3 linked regions of the Sus scrofa genome follow. The protein of the gene in region 3 binds, or shares a complex with, the protein of the main gene of each other region. Links are inferred from orthologs where the notes say so. Each region holds a gene or a part of one and is shown on either strand. Other genes may lie near its edges.

Evidence for each region.
Region 1: the proteins of PTPN22 (region 3) and PSTPIP1 are in contact, whole or in part, in a crystal structure (PDB 7AAM), measured with the Homo sapiens proteins. The link is inferred for Sus scrofa from reciprocal best matches to the Homo sapiens genes PTPN22 and PSTPIP1. Residues at the interface, in NP_057051.4 of Homo sapiens: Ser793, Lys794, Pro795, Gly797, Pro798, Arg799, Asn800, Pro801, Pro802, Trp805, Asn806; in NP_003969.2 of Homo sapiens: Thr225, Arg228, Asn229, Trp232, Asn236, Ser239, Met240, Cys242, Val243, Asp246.
Region 2: the proteins of PTPN22 (region 3) and CSK are in contact, whole or in part, in an NMR structure (PDB 1JEG), measured with the Mus musculus proteins. The link is inferred for Sus scrofa from reciprocal best matches to the Homo sapiens genes PTPN22 and CSK. Residues at the interface, in NP_033005.1 of Mus musculus: Pro614, Pro615, Leu616, Pro617, Glu618, Arg619, Thr620, Glu622, Ser623, Phe624, Ile625, Val626, Val627; in NP_001291690.1 of Mus musculus: Phe20, Thr23, Gln26, Ala40, Val41, Thr42, Lys43, Asp44, Asn46, Trp47, Ile59, Pro61, Asn63, Tyr64.

The regions. Positions count from the first base shown.
Region 1 is NC_010449.5:57,143,248-57,145,768, reverse strand, and holds the end of PSTPIP1 (proline-serine-threonine phosphatase-interacting protein 1), read right to left. Parts: intron 2,115-2,521; coding exon 2,059-2,114; intron 1,874-2,058; coding exon 1,740-1,873; intron 837-1,739; coding exon 705-836; 3' UTR 558-704; downstream 1-557. UniProt on the Homo sapiens protein: Involved in regulation of the actin cytoskeleton. May regulate WAS actin-bundling activity. Bridges the interaction between ABL1 and PTPN18 leading to ABL1 dephosphorylation.
Region 2 is NC_010449.5:58,737,980-58,741,626, forward strand, and holds part of CSK (c-src tyrosine kinase), read right to left. Parts: intron 3,589-3,647; 5' UTR 3,524-3,588; coding exon 3,509-3,523; intron 3,158-3,508; coding exon 3,044-3,157; intron 2,934-3,043; coding exon 2,821-2,933; intron 2,439-2,820; coding exon 2,219-2,438; intron 1,437-2,218; coding exon 1,343-1,436; intron 1,132-1,342; coding exon 1,066-1,131; intron 985-1,065; coding exon 885-984; intron 787-884; coding exon 696-786; intron 250-695; coding exon 176-249; intron 70-175; coding exon 1-69. UniProt on the Homo sapiens protein: Non-receptor tyrosine-protein kinase that plays an important role in the regulation of cell growth, differentiation, migration and immune response.
Region 3 is NC_010446.5:106,690,779-106,694,964, reverse strand, and holds the start of PTPN22 (tyrosine-protein phosphatase non-receptor type 22), read right to left. Parts: upstream 2,864-4,186; 5' UTR 2,727-2,863; coding exon 2,640-2,726; intron 1-2,639. UniProt on the Homo sapiens protein: Acts as a negative regulator of T-cell receptor (TCR) signaling by direct dephosphorylation of the Src family kinases LCK and FYN, ITAMs of the TCRz/CD3 complex, as well as ZAP70, VAV, VCP and other key signaling molecules.

The sequences.
Region 1 (2,521 bases), on a different chromosome or scaffold from region 3:
AAAAGACAAAGCCCTAAGGAGCATCAAGAACAAAAGAGGAGCCTGACCACCTCTGTGCCCAGGGTCAGCCTGCACGGATGGGCAGCGATGGCTTCCCCAGGCCCAGCTGGGTCTGGAAAACAGTGAGTATCACTTGCATCCACAGGCCTCTAGGCCTCCTGCCCAGACTCTATAATGCCCCTGCACCTCGGCACACCCATCACCTGTTTCCTGCCCCGAACAAAGCTCGGCTCATCCCCAGAATGATCCCCGATGCTCTGCTCTTCCTTGTGTCCCATCTGCTGCTGCCTTGCTCTAGTCCCTCTGACCCCAGGAAGCCCGGTCTCCCCATCGCAGATCCCCCGAGCCCCTCCTCCCTGACCCCTGCCACCTTCCCCCATGGCCCGCTGTGAATGTGTCTCCCTGGCAGTTCCCAGGGTACCGCTCCACTCCCAGCTCACCTGGGACAGAGCCAGGCTGGGGCCTCAGTGATGACACTGCACACGGAAAGCTCTGCTCGCCTGGACTTCTCCCCACCTTTGCTTCCTCCACATTGAGCACTTGGACACGGGAGCAAAGAGGGGGAAAAGCAGTCCTTTATTCCCTGTGGAAAAGACTGCCCAGGAGCGGCCGGCACCCTTCCTGGGAGGGCAGGCTCCGTCTTGACGGGGGCACTGCCGGCCCCATGGGCAGGGCAGGTCCAGATGTGGGCTACTGCCCCTTCCTTAAAGCTTCTCCAGGTACGAGCCAGGGACAAAGCCACGCTGCCCGTTCCGTTGTACCGTCCACCAGCCATCCTCCCCTTCCAGGATGACCTCCAGGATGTCCCCTGCAGTGATGTCCAGCTCATCAGGATTCTGGGCAAGAGAGTGAAAGCACGTCAGCCTGCAGGTGCCCGCTGGGAGGGCCTCTGATCCGGCATTACCCTCAACCTGGGCAGTAAGTGCCAGCCTGTCTCTCAGGTGGGCTGTGAGCTGAGACCTGCTGGCCTCCTGGGGCTGCAAGACCAGGCCATTCTCTGGGCTATGGCAGCCCTTGGAGACGTAGCATGCGGGGTATCCTGTGGGACTCAGCCTCTTGTCCCCTCTGGTTTGTCACTGGGGGCCTCCCACAACCTGGGGCTTCTCTCCTGCTCTACCTCCTGCTGCTCCCTCTCCCTGTCCCCACTGTAGACACAGCAGCCCAGCAAGTCAGGGGCAAGTGTGTTTGCTGTGCCCCCTCCTCCGCTTGCCACTGCAATATAAGCACAGCGTCATTCCCCCGGGCCGCTCAGCCCCAGCAGGTTTGAGGTCCAGCTCTGTACCCCTCACCTTAAAGCGAGGAACAGACTAGACTCTAGGATCTGGGCACAGCTGTCCTGGGGCTTTTTACTCATCCTCCCCTTGTGGGCCTCAGAAGATCAACCCCGGCACAGCTAAGCCTCGCTCTGGCCATGGCTTGTTCTGGCACCCAGGGTCATGGAGAACAAGGGCCTCACGCGTGGGGGCCTAGCCCGAGCCTCACACCACATCCTTAGGCAGCCCCGACTCCGGCAGCCTGCCTGCACATGAGCGTGGGCCCGTGCAATGCCCACGGCTGCCTGGACATGTGTGCGTGACCAGCCCCGGGGCCTCGCGCCATTCAGCACTTTTCACTCGGCAGGTACGGGCTGGGCCCCCTCATAAACACCGGGTGCTGTTCTAAGGGCCTCCGCCCAGCATATTCCCACCGCGGGGCTACCAGCGCCCTCTTAGCGAGGGGACGGAGCGGGGGACGCTCACCTGGGCTGTGTAGTCATAGAGCGCCCTGTAGTCCTGGGCTGGCAGGGTGGGGGGTCCTGGTACCTCCTGCACGTTGATGGCAGCGTAGACACCCTCATTCCGATCGGGGATGGGAGTCAGGGTCTCTGTGGAGGCTGAGAGCAGGGTGAGGCCTGGTGCCCGCCTCTTAGCAAAAAAACAGATCCCTGGAGGCCCCCCGGACGTGAAGCTTCCCCAGACCTGGCTCAGCCTCTGCCCGACCTCAACCGTTGGGGGGTCCATCTGTGCCAAGTAGGCATCCCCCCCTTTCCCCCCGGGTGACAGCTGCCCCCCCAATTACCCGCAGAAGCTGCTGGCGAAGCATTCTTGGGACTTCCGTGCAGTAGCCCGGAGAACCTGGGGACAGAGGAAAAGCAGGTGAGCGCTGGGGGGAGGATGAGGCAGGGGGCCCTCGGGTGATTTATGGGGTGCCCCTCACCAGGAGGGCTCCCCAAAGGGTGGTCCCAGTGGCTTTTCCCTCCCCAGCAGTGCTCTCCGGACCCTCACCCTGTAGACATCTCAGTACCTGCTCCCTGCGGAGCCTCGGGGGCGCCAAGACTTCTGTGCTCCAGCCTCCCCCAAGGGCGAAGGAGCTGCCGTCGGAACTCTGAGCACAGTCGCCAGTGAATAAGTGGGGGGGATTATTTGTTTAATGCCTAGGTCCCCTTGGGCCGAGGGTGTCACAAGGCTAGATTGAGCCTGTCTTGTCCCCAAAGAGCACCCAGCACCAGGCACACCACAGATACTCGATAAATACATACGGA
Region 2 (3,647 bases), on a different chromosome or scaffold from region 3:
TTGCGGGCAGCCAGGTCCCGGTGCACGAAGTTGTTGCCTTCCAGGTATTCCATAGCCTCGCAGACATCTCTAGGAGAGAGCCAGCCACAGGTCCCCTCAGACAGGGGTTCCAGAGCAGGGCTGCTCCCCCACCCCCGCCCCGCCCCGCCCCGCCCCCAGGGGCTGCTTCACTCACAGCGAGAACTTGAGGAGGCAGTCTCCGCCTAGCACCGACCGACCCCGGGATCGCAGATAGTCCACCAGGCTCCCCTGGGGTGGACAGACAGACCAACAGGCCCTATAAGTCAAACCTGCCCGCCAGACCTTGGGAACAGTAGGCCTGGGGCTGGGTAACCGGTGACACTCAGTGGGCAGTGTGAAGAGGAGGTGGACAGGGGAAGGGTCAGGACATCACTTCTGAAGGAATAGCAGACGCTGTGCTCAGCAATTTTCATGCATTATTTCTTAATTCTCATAAATCTCTGAGGTAAACTTTGCTAGTGCCTCTGTTCACAGGTGAGGACCTGAGGCTTGGTCTAAGGTCATAGTGAAAAAATGATGAGCCAAGTTGAGCCTGGGTGACTTCAAAGCTCGGCTGGAGAGAAGGAGCAGGGGCCCAAGGGTGTGTGTGTGGGGGGAGGGGCTTGGGGCAGCTGGAAAGCTCGAGCCCGTGTTCAGCTCCAGGATGGGGGCTGGGTCCCAGGGAAGGCACCCACCTTGGCCATGTACTCTGTGACGATGTAGAGCCCGCCTTTCTCCTCTACGATCACGCCCAGAAGCTGTACCAGGTTGCTATGCCGAAGTTGCCTGGGGCAACATGGGGTGGTCAGAGCCTGCCGAGCCTCCCCATCACCTCCTGGCCCCCGGGGCGACCTCCCTACCCCTTCACCCCCAGTCCAACTCACGTCATAACTGAGGCTTCAGCCAGGAAGGCCTGGGCAGTGGCGTCATTCTTAATGCACTTGACGGCGACTTTGTTCCCTCGGTAGTCGCCAAGCATCACGTCTGGAGAAGAGAGTTAAGGGTTGGCCCTGGATTCCGCACAGTCCCTGGCACCTCTCAGGGCTCCCACCCTTTCTGGCTCACCTCCAAATTCCCCCTTCCCAATGGTCTGCAGCAGCTTCAGGTCCTTCATGTTCAGTGCCCAGCCACCTGGGGGGAGGGGGTGGTCAGTTGAGGGGTGGTGAAGCCAGAGAAGGGGTCACAGCAGAGGCAGACTGGACATAAAGTGGAGGACGGGTCGGGGTGGGGTGAGGGGTTCCCTGGAGGCCTCCAGAGCCTCTGGGATGGAAGTAGTGCCAGGAAGCCTGGGTGGGAGGCGGGTGGGTGGGCCAGTGAGGTCTCGGGGAGGGGTGGCACTCACTGCGAAAGAACTCATCCTGGGCCGCCACGGTGCCCTCCATGAGTTTTGGCTTGATGAGGCGGGTACAGAGTCCATCTGCATCTGAGGTGTAGTGCTGCAGAGGGCAGGGCAGGCGCTCAGGGTCCCCTGTGCAACTCCAATGGCTGCCATGCCCTGTCCTGGTCTGACCACCAGGGGGAAGCAGAGGCCAGTTCCACCCAGCCCTGCAGTTGCTTTGGGTTTGGAGGGCTTTGCGTTTCCAGCAGGGGTGAGGGAGGCCCCAGACACCTGGCCCATGTCACCACACACCGAGGTGCTGAATGGATACTGGGGTTGTTGCTACCACTCTGGGGCCTCACCAGTATCCTGAGGCAGAGGACAAGCCCTGGCTCACTCTAGATATCAGGCTCTAGTGGGCCCAGGTGCCCCCTGTCGCAGGTCAAGCCAGGCCAGCAGAGAAAAGGCGAAGGCGCCCAGTGAGTGCAGGAGGCATGTGAAGGCTGCCTGGGGCACAGATGGCCTTGGAAGATTCAGGGACATGTGGCCCTTCAAGGTGAAGGTCATGAGTATGTGCTTACACACACACACTTGGCATATAGTCTATGAGGAACTGGATGGAAGCTCATTCTGGGGTCAGAAAACTCAGATTCTAGTCCCAGCACCTCTAGTTTACAACCATGTGACCAGAGGTGGGTTCTTTAACTGCTCTGAACCTTTGTTTCCTGACCTATGAACCAGGGTGCCACCTCCCTGTGGTGGGGTCAGAGATCAACCCTGGAACACAGCAGGTGCTCTATCAGGGTGTTGCTCACAGAGGCTGCATGACGTGCCCCAGGCCACCAGTCAGAAGCAGTGGGACTGGAGCTGGAACCTGGGCCAGCCCTTGTGTCTGCTCACCTCCACCAGCTGCATGAGGTTCTCAAAGTACACCTCCTCGTCGATGCTGAGCTTGCTGGCGTGGTACATGATGCGGTAGTGCTCCACCTTGCCGTCGCAGCTCACGCACAGCGTGTAGTCCCCGGGGTAGTTGGTGCTCTCCCGCACCAGGAACAGGCCTGTCTCTGGTGGGCACAGGAGCCGCTCTGCCTGCTCCCTTGTGATCTTGCCATGGAACCAGCTATGGGAAGGCCAGGCCTGGGGTCGTGGTGGCCCGCGGGCACTGTCCCCGGTGCCCCCACCAGCCTCCTCATGCATCTGCCAGGCTCCACTTCCTGGAGGCCCTCTCCCTCCGGGTTCTTCACACGCTTCTGCAGGTGTCAGGCCCTGGGGCCCTCACCCTCTGTCTCTGACTTTCTTTCTTCAGTCCTCCTGGCTCCATCCTCCCCTTCCAGGTCCAGCACCCACGCCCTTCCCCTCGTTGCCGGAAGCCCTCACGGAATCCCAGCCCCTTGCTCTCACCTCCCTGTTCTCCTGACTCTCTTCTGGGGAAACCAGGGCTCCTGGTCCTCTTTCCTCCCCAGCCTGGGGGCCCCCAACCATCGCTCCTCGGAGGTACTCACGGCATGAGGCTGAGTTTGGTGCCTGCCTTCACGCCCTCCCGCTTTTGGACGTAGTTGGCTGGGATGATGCCCTCACGGCCCACCTTGTTCTTGGCTTTGTACCAGTTGGGGTCCTGGGTGGGGAGGAGCCCAGACACGCTCTCAGGCTCACCCACCCTTCCCTGCAGGGCAGCTGGGACCCAGAGGTGGGCGTGGAGTTTGGGGAGCTGAGGTCACTGATTACCTTGGTGACGGCCACAATGGTGAGCACGTCTCCTTTGCAGAAAGGAAGGTCCTGCTCAGCAGTGCCGTGAAAGTTGTACTTGGCAATGCATTCTGTACCGGATGGCCAGGCGGCCTGCAAGGCAGGTGACAGGTGGGCAGTGCAGCCCAGGGCAACCCCGGCCCACCTGCCCGCACACCCTCGAGATCACAGCCTCTTGGCTGGCCTGCAGGAGCCTGGGTGAGGTGCCCTTCCCCCGGAGAGCTCCGGGCATCTTCCAGCTGAGATCTCTCCACTGCCCCAGACCTGTGCTCACATCTTTAGGACCCTGCACGACCAGTGTGCCCTGGAAATCTATTGTGTTGAAAGCCAGGACTGGGGAAAAGGGGAGGGAACTGACCTGAACCCTCACTCTCTCTCCTCTCAGCACCCCCCCGTGGTGGTGGTGGGGACACGCAACTGCCTAGCCCCCCATCCCTGCAGTACCTGTATTGCCGACATCTTCTCAGAAGATCTGGCGTCCCCGTGTCACAGGAAGGCCGACCTATCACTTGGTACCATGAGAGCTGTGGGGAAAGGGGACGATTGGGGTGAGGGTGAGAGGAGATGGGTCCCTCCAAGTCAC
Region 3 (4,186 bases):
GCATTGCAGAACCAGCATCTAGCATGATGCTTTGCACACAGTGAGCACTCAATAAATATTAGAGTGAATGCGTGAAAACCTTACAGGAGGGGTCAGTGGCAGTTTCAACTACAGAAGGATTATTGAGTTTAAGCTTGGCATGGGGAAAAATGGAAACAGTATGATATTGGCTCTAGCTGTCATAGCAGGGCTATGCGCTCTGCACAAGAGGGAAGTGGGGACAGAAATCAAAGCTAGGGACCCAGCGGGTTGGGGGGGCAGGGTGCACAGAGCATCTACCTGGAAGTGGAGAGGACTTTTGATAATTCCCACAGAGGCAGCCCTCTGCAGGCCTATGTCACAGAATCAGCTCCCAGATCTCAGAAACAGCACATCCTGGGAGAACATGTGAAGAGCTGAAGATGGAATGTGGGACGTGACCTAGTGGAAAGCCTTCCAATTTAAGGGCAGTTATTTACCTTGTCCAAGCAAGCAGCCTGACCCCATTCACACCCCGCACCCCATCAAAGCCACTCTCTGGTATCTCAGCTAAACCTTTAGGTGGGGCTGAGGGAGGGAAAGGCTCTGTTTTTCCACTGGAGGACATGAGTCAGTGAACAGTGAGGTTCCACTTAATCACCACCCAAAAACAAAGTCCTTAAACTCAGAAGCTAGAAGAGTAAGGAAGTGATTAATATAGAAGTCAATTTAGTGGTTATTCCTTGGCCTGGGCAGGACAGGGTGGGGTGAGGGACCAGATGGGGAAGGGTTTTTTTTTAACGGGTCTTCTGGGGTCTGACAGGGTTCTAATTCCTTGACCTGAGTAGTGGTTGCATTATCATTATACTTAAACATGTTGTGTGGACTTTTCTAAATGTGCTACAGTTCACAATTTCAAACAGCTGGGAAAAAAATGCAAACTGTCAAAAGTTTTTGAGCAGGGAAAAAAAACCAAATAACCAGATCTGTAGTCTTAAAAGATCACTTGGGTGTTGAATGGAAAATTGACTGAAGGTGGGGCAAGGCAAGAGGCAGAGAAAACAGGAGGTGAGGTAGCTGCTAGAATTTGGTGAGAGGTTATAATAACTGAGCTGAGAAAAGGTGAAATATTAGGGATGTAGTCTGTATTATTTTCTTTTCTATTTTTTTTTGTCTATATTATTTTCAAAAACACAACCAAAATAAAACAGAAGCTGCCACTGCCCCCTCAGCTCACGATTCACCTCTCTGCATTGGGTGAATCTGGCTCCAGCTATAGTCCAGTTATAGTCCAGGAGCAGATACATGTCTAACAGACACAGAGGCCAGGATTTCTGTCTTCCCTCCATCCCTGCTAACTCTACTCAAAGAGACTCAGATGCCTGGCCAGCGGCAGTTAGAGTGCAATTTTTCATGACACCACAATATAATCCAAGTTGAGCTGACACAGTGGTTTCTATCATAATAGGCAATAACTCAGTGATAAGAACCTAATCACTCGAGAACATTTACAAAGTGGTTTCACATCTATCTGCGAAATGTTAACTCCACGGGGGCAAAGGTTTTTGTTTTGTTCACTACCATATCCTCAGTGCCTAGAACTGAACTTGGTACACAGCAGGTGCTCATTAAGTGTTACTGAATGAACAGCCACATTTAAGCATTATTGTTGTGGATATTGAGACATCACAATAATCCTGTGCAGAGAGGCAGGGCCTGACTTATCCCCACTGCGGAAGTTAGAAAATAGAGACCAGGTGAGATCAAGGCACATTTCAAATAGTTGATCATTTGCTTGAGGACAGAATCATGATTTAATTTCAGATTTTACACTTAAACTCTCTTATTTTTCCCATTTCTTCACAGCTGAAAAGGTACAGTTTGAAGTCCCTACAGCTTCGAATCATCAGCTGGAAGTATTCCAAAATGCATGGTAGGTACCCTCAGATATCCTGTGTCCCCGGGCGAGCTGGCTCATTGAATGAATGAGGCCTGCTCAGCTGCCACTGCGTCAATAACCAGTTCCCCCGCAGGAGATGCCGTGTTCCCCTGGGTAATCAAACCCAGGTGATCCCAGGCTCCCTTGTGCTTATGTTTCTCACCATGTCCCTCACTTTTCTCTGCTCCCTGTCCTACCCCAGCCAGCAAAAGAAGGTTAAGGAAACCCTGTTATTGCCCAAAGACACGACAAAAAATAAACGTGGCTTGGTGCTCTTCAAAAGCCTCTGTCATCCAAATGGAACCCCACAGGAGGCCAAAAGGGTAATGCTCCATGAAAAGGGAACCTTGCTCTGGTTCCTCTTGATATGCATGAAAATGAGTCCTTTGAAACATAAACCTAGAACTCAGATACCTGGGAACTCCAGATGTTCAATGAATATTAGGTTTGTACCCCTGGAATGATGCAGGTCTTTTGGAGGATTCCCAGTCAACCTCCAAGAACTAGCACACAAAATATTCCAAACTATGTTTTGCTAAGAAAGCTAAGCTATCAGGCATGGTAGAGGACACCCGAAGGACACACACGCCACTTAGAGAAGTCACACTTTTAGGATGCCTTCTTCCCCCAAAGGTCTGATATGCACTTGATCACAAGAGCAATTTGGTCTAAAAGAATTGGACCATTGCAAGCAGTTAAACATCTATGTCACTAGCCCGACCGGGTCACATATAGGACTTACCAGAAATTCACTGGCAAACTCCTTTTTGTTATTTTTCTTGTTTTGGGCCTCATCCAGGAACTTCTGTAGGACTTCTCTTTGGTCCATGCTGCAGGGCAAGAGAGACCGTCTCTGAGCGGTTTAAAGGAGGGCATGTCAAATGTGTGTCATGGCCGAGACAGCACTGAGAAGCCACCGCTGCTGCCTGAGCAGAGCATGTTGAAGGCTGTGGTTTACTGACTTCATCACAAGCCCCAGAGGAAATTAGTGCGTAACCAGCCCTCTGTGGTCACACAACAAAGCCAGCACCTCACTCCTGGGCCCTAGTGCCTTCCTTCCCAAGAGAAGAACCTGATTACAAGTCAGGTTTGTAATACACAGGAGGCCAAGCAGAACATAGCTCCGAGTCTATTCTCCTCCATTGCCCTGAAGCCAAAGTCATTGTTTTTCTTGCTTCCTAGAGAAAAGGCAGAATTACAGGTCCCCATGGATGGATGGTCTCTTCCTAGTTCCCCAATGAGCACAAAGACCCTTTGATGCTTCTGATTCCTTGAGGCCCAGATGAACTCTATAAGGTTCATTTAACCGCAGAAGAGAGACAGACCCTGGAGTCTTCTCAGAAGTTTCTTGTCAGTGTGATCCTAGCAAACTTCTCTGCATCAGAGAAGGCAGTTTTCTTCAGAAAGTTTAAGTCTGCCATAGAGATCTCAACCTCTCCTTTGTGTGAAGCAAAGTCGGCTGCTTCTGACAGTCCACGTCTCTCCCAGGGCTGGGGAAGTGCTCACGTCCAGTAAGGGAAGTGCCGTTGAGTTCAGAACCCACCCCAGCCCTCCAGGACTTCTTGAGCTTCTTTGGGTTCTGGGTATAAAGACTGAGGGCACTGGTCTGTAAAGGATCCAGGAGCACAGTGGCCCCCAGAAGGAGCTCCTGACCGGGAAGATGGCACAAAACCCATGAATGTGGAGTTCCTGTGTGGCACAGTAGAAATAATTCCGACTAGGAACCATGAGGTTCCGGGTTTGATCCCTGGCCTCACTCAGTGGGTTAAGGATCCGGCATGGCCATGAGCTGTTTACGTTGCAGACATGGCGCTGCTGTGGCTGTGGTGTAGGCCGGCAGTTGCAGCTCCGATTCAACCCCTAGCCTGGGAACCTCCATATGCTGCGAGTGTGGCCCTAAAAGGCGGGAAAAAAAAAATCCCCTGAATGTCATGCTAGTAAAATATGAAGGAAGAGGAAAAAGAGTAAAAATCAACCACCCTGCCGGGAACAGTGCAAATTTCAAGGCTGAAAGCCCGAACAACTATCTCTAGAGAAGACACGTGTACTCTGCAGTCAATGCGGGAAGGCCACTGTTTCAGGAAGCCACGCTGTGCATGTCGCATTTGGCCCCTAATGGGGCCTTTCTGTTCTAGAAAAAGCTTCCATAGCTCAGCTTGCATAAATTCTCTCCTCAATGGGTACAGACCTACCCAAGAGTATCTCATTTGGTAACAGAACAAAATAAAAACCAGCATAACATATCTGTTTGAGGACAGAAATTCAACTAATAATATGTTAACAAAACTA